Linked DNA regions of Saccharomyces cerevisiae S288C. The gene in region 1 interacts genetically with each later gene. Each region holds a gene or a part of one and is shown on either strand. Other genes may lie near its edges. The genes, in order: YLL066W-B and PPS1.

Evidence for each region.
Region 2: mutations in YLL066W-B (region 1) and PPS1 together harm fitness less than expected from each alone (positive genetic interaction), as found in Saccharomyces cerevisiae (one large-scale study listed by BioGRID).

The regions. Positions count from the first base shown.
Region 1 is NC_001144.5:3,521-6,527, forward strand, and holds YLL066W-B (uncharacterized protein), read left to right. Parts: upstream 1-2,084; coding exon 2,085-2,255; downstream 2,256-3,007. Other genes in the region: YLL067C (Y' element ATP-dependent helicase), read right to left, coding at 1-395, 495-781; YLL066C (Y' element ATP-dependent helicase), read right to left, coding at 2,600-3,007.
Region 2 is NC_001134.8:758,108-762,043, reverse strand, and holds the start of PPS1 (tyrosine/serine/threonine protein phosphatase PPS1), read left to right. Parts: upstream 1-2,000; coding exon 2,001-3,936. Other genes in the region: PAF1 (Paf1p), read right to left, coding at 1-787; DPB3 (DNA polymerase epsilon noncatalytic subunit), read right to left, coding at 1,145-1,750. UniProt on the Saccharomyces cerevisiae protein: Protein phosphatase with specificity for serine, threonine, and tyrosine residues; has a role in the DNA synthesis phase of the cell cycle.

The DNA.
Region 1 (3,007 bases):
ACTCCGTCTTACCATAGCCCGGTGGGGCCTGTACTGCCACAGAGGGTGTGTCTGCCATGTATATTTCATGACATAAGCGCAACTGATGCAAGTCCCTGAATTCAAAGGAGCTGCCAAAGAGTTTCTGGCCTGCGACGAGGATATCGTTTGTACTCTTGGGCTCTCGGGGCCTTTTTCGCGTTACTCTTGAAATTTTTTGATCATGATCTGAACTCGCCGCCTCACCTGCCACTACGTCTTCCGCATTCCGAGTACTAGAGAATGAACAATGGTAGTCGCTTTCAAGGCCTAACCATTGAATCCAGCGCTCGGAAGTGAGTCCGTCAAGCGTCTTTAGTCGAGGCTCCGATGAACCGTTCTTGTTGTATCGTCGACGTATACGTTGCGCTGTAGCTCTGGATAACGGTAAGCGTATCACCGTAAGCTCGTCAATTATTTTTGAGAGCCGCGGTCATTTTGTTAGTATCTCTTCTCAACTTGGGCAGCACACATGCAAAACATCACCCAATCGGTCCTTTTTGTTCATCATATCGTTACATATCTGTGAAAAGTACTTTATCTCAATGGGTTTACGTGGGCATAGATCACGCTTCAGCCGCTCTGTGTCGACTTTCTTTTCGCCAGGTAAACTTGCTTGGTATGCAGAAAAAATCGATAGCTCATCTACGTGTAGTAACAAAAACATGTGGGGTGCCAAATTGTACCCATATCTCCTTATGGTGCTTTTCTGAAGACTCCTTACAATAGGTGCGCCAGAAACAAAGTCAGTGAAAGTACGCATCGTAGAGCTGTCGTTCGGCCTGGCACTCGCTATTTCGTGACAACGTTCCAGGACACGGAAACTCAACTCATTATAGTATCCTCTGTTGAGGTAAAAAAGAGAAAGGGTATCGTAATCCTTTCTATTGAATTTCAAAGTATGCACTTGAAACAACGTGTAGACCATCAAGTTGATTTTCTTGGGAATAAGATACTTTGAAGGGATTGGTCCGCCCTGGAAATCTGGTTCGTCTTCAACAAACGTCAGGAACTTTTGTACATTTTTCCCGACCATGACGGAAACGACAATTTTTTCAAAAGACCTTTTCCTATCCATTGCACCAGTTCTGAATTTTACCACTTTGATTAGGCCAGACTTTTCGTCTTCGTAGAATGACCGCACTTCCGTGGGGATCGATTCAAATAAAGTTATTGAGGGACAATGTACCAAGTCGTTTTTGTTATTTAGAGCCGACTCAAACTCGTCAAAGTTTGCTTTTTCAAACTTACGCCTATCGGAAACTTTCATTTTATTTTTGTAAGTTTCGAAATTAACAATAGTATGTTGATTGTTATGCTTTTTGACAAGAAATCCATCAATATAAACAAAAGATTGTCCAGTTTCCGTCTTATCATCATCTAAGAATGTAATAATTAAGCTACTCTATTGAGAAGAAGCAGAATCTGCGCTATGCAGGTGCAAATCTCCAGCAGCAGCAAAGAAAATTCAGTTAATAAGAAATCTCACTAAGATAAGCGACTGTCTGTCCCAACATAGAAAACAGAAGGATGTCTCATTCATCCTTGATTTCCGGCCTGCAAAAATAAAGTAGTCGGTACGTACGTTCGTTTTCAATTTCCATGGTGCACAGTATCTTAACTATCTGCTTAGTCGAGGAGAACCAGGATTCTGTTCGTTGCTCAGCCGCTTCGTGGATATTCTCTTGGATACTTTAAATATGGACCTACGCTTAGCCTGCGCTTAGCCTACAACTTCTTCCGCTCTCGAAAAGACCAATATAATAGAAAGTTATAAATTACATTTCCTTATTAGGTATACGACCTCGCGCTTCGAAGTAGAGGAGCCCTTTTTGGCGTACCTACATATGGCGCGTCAGACAGACAAACTTCCCCCAAAAATGTATTACCCTGCCGAATAAGAAAACAGACCCATTCACCCACGACGTATCAAGTTACTTCCTTGGTGCAATGTCCCACTATAAAAAAATTCCTTGACGCTAGATCGTTGGACTAAAATCTGCGTCACAATCGCCTAAACAGGAAATATTGCCTATTTTCGTACAAGGTTACTTCCTAGATGCTATATGTCCCTACGGCCTTGTCTAACACCATCCAGCATGCAATACAGTGACATATATATACACCACACCCACACACCACACCCACACCACACCCACACCCACACACACCACACACCCACACACTCTCTTACATCTACCTTTACTCTCGCTGTCACACCTTACCCGGCTTTCTGACCGAAATTAAAAAAAATGAAAATGAAACCCTCTTCTTTAGCCCTACAACACTTTTACATAGCCCTAAGTAGCCCTCATGTACGTCTCCTCCAAGCCCTGTTGTCTCTTACCCGGATGTTCAACCAAAAGCTACTTACTACCTTTATTTTATGTTTACTTTTTATAGATTGTCTTTTTATCCTACTCTTTCCCACTTGTCTCTCGCTACTGCCGTGCAACAAACACTAAATCAAAACAGTGAAATACTACTACATCAAAACGCATATTCCCTAGAAAAAAAAATTTCTTACAATATACTATACTACACAATACATAATCACTGACTTTCGTAACAACAATTTCCTTCACTCTCCAACTTCTCTGCTCGAATCTCTACATAGTAATATTATATCAAATCTACCGTCTGGAACATCATCGCTATCCAGCTCTTTGTGAACCGCTACCATCAGCATGTACAGCGGTACCCTCGTGTTATCTGCAGCGAGAACTTCAACGTTTGCCAAATCAACCCAATGTGGTAACAACCACACCTCCGAAATCTGCTCCAAAAGATATTCCAGTTTCTGCCGAAATGTTTTATTGTAGAACAGCCCTATCAGCATCGACAGGAATGCCGTCCAATGCGGCACTTTAGATGGGGTAACTCCCAGCGCAAGCTGATCTCGCAAGTGCATTCCTAGACTTAATTCATATCTGCTCCTCAACTGTCGATGATGCCTGCTAAACTGCAGCTTGACGTACTGCGGACCCTG
Region 2 (3,936 bases), on another chromosome or scaffold:
CATGAGAGTCATCATCCATTTCATCCATACCCTTTTCCAATTCGTTTTCCAGAATGGCAGAGTCCTTATGATCTGTGGCATACATGGAAATCCATTCGTCTTCTTCCAGTTCCACTGGCCTGAAAATTCCTGTATTTAAAGATTTTTTTTCTTTAGTATCCAATGATGCACTGCCCATGAATTTTAGGATAAAATACACCTGGTCCATTGAAGCTGTGTCGGGCAATAGGTCCCATTTTTTAACCATCTTGACACCCTTCTTCACCGGATGTTGCCATTTGTCCGTCTTATTGAATGTTCCTTCGACCCTACTAATTATATGATTAACATCAAGGTTTTCATCATCCGAATCTCCATCATCCAAGCGCCTTTTCCTTTTCAACGATGTGTTATCATGGGCTGCAATTGTATTGGAGACATATTCGGTGCGTCTCAAGAAGGTAACCTTTGATATATCAGTCTTGGTCAGTCTATCTATTCTAGGGTCCCTCAGTAAAATTCGATCATCTTTGTCCAATTTCACATTATCAAAGCCGTAAAGCAGTTTAGAATCTAATTTGTTCAATAGGCCTGGGAATTTCATCAAATCAACCGGCATACCTAAATCTTCATCCTGTTGAATTAGATTAGTGACGTTTGTTTTGATGTATAGTGAATTGATTAGTTGGGAGGAGTCTGCATTCGTCTCCGGAGACTCGGGGTAAACCAGAAGTTTAGGAGGTAATTGTGGCACAGGCAAGCTGTTTTGGTATTTTATTGGTGCAATATATTCCTGTTTTTTGGACATTGTGACCCTTTATACTATTATGAGCACTGTTCTATTGTACTGAATACATTTCTGTCTATAATTAACAACGTATCAATAATGACAGTATTAATTCATCCAATGTTACAGTCGTCATTTTTTTCTTTTTCCATTTCAGAAAGACAAATTAAGTTATTCGTGTAATGTGATTATTATTTTAAAGCCCTTGTTTTTCTTCCCTACATAACAGCTCTAACCTACAAAATATTAATTATCCCTAAGCTTTTTCGAGATGTCCTTTTAAAATAGTAAGTTCAAGGTTAGGGTTCTCATTGCGTGTATGTATATGTATAACATATTGCATCGAATAGTAATTACATAGCAATAATAGCAACAACACTAAGGATCGGTGCTTTTCGTATGGTCAACTTCGATATCAGAAGAGTCGGAGTGTTCTCCTACGTCTAGTGCGGATTTATACTGGAATCTCGACAGCAAGCTTGCCACACTGCGCGTGGATTTATCATTTTGTTGATCTTTACTATCATCAAGAAGTTCTTCATTGTGTACGGGCTCTTCTTCTTCGGATACCTCGTCTTCTTCTTCTTCTTCCTCTACACCATCATCCTCATGCAATTCAGGCTCTTCTATAACAACCTCTTGATCGCTCCGACCCGGTTGCATGTTTAGTTCTCTCTTCTTGTCGAGTGCGCTATTCTTCTTCAGTTGTTTAATGGCATCCTCTAGAAACCTGAAATTATCTCTTTTTTCGACACATTCTTCTATAGAATTTAGGCTTAATCGTAGGCTTGTCTTTCCTTTCGAATTCAGTTGTGCTAAGACCAGCGATTCTTCGACGAGATTCTGTACAAATAACTCAGCAGCGAATGCGGTCGCTGATATAGCTACATTAGATGTAATTACGTATTCGGGGTCGCATTTGGCAATCTTCTTTACTTTAGATATAGGAAAGACAGGTGCTTTTTCTTTAACTAAGTTGGACATTTTTTTTGCAACACGGTTGACCCTTGCTTGTTTTTATCTGTTGGGGCAGGCAGTTGTTAAGGCCATTAATTTCGCGTAATAAAAATAAATTATTACTTCAAAAGCATCATGGAAACATAATTGCAAGAGTTTTTAAGGTTCAAAAAGAAAAGTACAAGAAGAAGTAAAAAAGTGAAAAGAAACACCAACCATAAAAGAGAGATTGTCATTGAGGTAGAAGGGGCGGGTATAGAAAACTAGAGCAACAACCATGGTTTTGGAAGTGCCCTCAATCACACCTGGTGAACTGCATGATCTTATGCGACTACATCAGGATGCAGAATGGCCTGAATGTAAAAAAATGTTCCCCTGGGCTCATGATATTTCCTTTGGTCAACCACCCGATTTTCCTCATTCTCTTGCAATAGTCAAATCGCAATCAGATGCTAACAATTCTGCGCTTTTGCGTAATTCTCTCGAAGTGAATGATATCTTCCAGTCCTGGAAAGTTCGCACTTCCTTTCATAGAGAGGGCGATACCTGTGAAACTGGAAATGATTCTAATGGTTTTCAATATCCCAATAACACAAAGGAACTTTTGAACTTGCTAAAGTTTCAGATACGACAATTGGAATTGCAAGTGGATGATGTTGCTTTGGAAAACGCTGCTACTTATTGTCACAATCATAGCATTTTACCATTTCTGAAAGTAGATCCTCGTGGACTATCATTAGAACTTAAAAGGTATTCTAGAAACAAGGTTGGGTCTAATACCACGCTAAAACGGAGTGGGCAGGACGTCTGGGGAAGGAGAGGTCTATTCCGAAGGTTCGACCTGCAATGTGCCAAGATGATAGAAATGGTTGATAATATAGTAATTTATTGTTCGCGGACTGGTGGCAGCACTGATATGCAAACAGAATCAGCGCCAGCGTGCTCACACGAGGGAAATTGCCCCAATTGTACAACCCTTGCACTACTTTTACAGATCTGTTTAATGTTTGTTCAAAAGGGTTATGTAGGGAGTGGAGGATCGCTTTACAAGACGAATCTTTTTATTTGCACTTATCAGAATTTCAATACAGATATACCTCAAACTTTGATTGGTACACCTTTATTAGACAACGAATTTTTCAAGAATAATACTCCCTTGAATTTATGTTCGTCACCTAGTGAAATAGTGTGTTTCAATAACGTTGATAAGAATATGGTTTTGTGCGAGAAGTTAGAGTTGAATAAGCTGACTTCAGCTACACGATTGGAGGAAACAGGGTTGATTTGCGGTAACACCACTGATTGGCATAATTATCAAATAATTAAAAAAAACAATATATCTCTGACCCACCGTTTCGAAGAGAATACAAGCATAGTAAATTTAAAGTCTCTAAATTATGATACGGACAATCCGACAACCTCCATTTCTCAACTGTATAACATACCGAATACAAAAGAGGTGTGGAAATTGATCATAAAATGTACGTCAAACTCGCAAATGCCGTCGTTAACGAAAATCCGAACATATCTAGATCTTTTATTAGACGATGATGCGTCAAAATCACAAGAGCATTTGCATTTGACTTTCCCTGCCTCAGGTAGTATAGGTTTGGGGAACTTAAACATTCAGTCTGTGGAAATTCTTTTGAATGTTTGTTATTTAATATTTCAAGTATCCCAAGTTCAAGAATTATTGACGTTCATGTATTGCGAAGACGGATATACAGAAACGTCATTATTATTAACAGCTTATATTATATTCCACTTTAATATTCCGTTACAAGACGCTCTTTTGAGGATCCATCCAAGACCATTTTTCCTTTTTCCATCAGACTTGCAAATTTTAGGCCATTTACAACCTGTCCTGCGGGAGTTTAGTCCGCAGAATGGAAGTAATCTAAAATTATATGCCAATGCATTGAAATTTAGGGATAAAAGCTTTCAATTACACATTTCTTCAGAGCTTTTTAGTAGCATATTTTTTATGAAGATTCCTCTTGAGTCTAATTTCGTTAATTTGAAGGGCCCACTGCCATCCCGGATTCTACGTCACTTGTATTTGGGATCCCTGGATCATGCACAAAATCCTGCCTTACTTAAGTCTCTAGGAATTACGCATATAGTTTCTGTCGGTGAAGTTGTTTCATGGACATTGAATAAGGATAAAATTGCTCATCCTGTAAGGCCACATCGTGCAATAACTATGACGAATA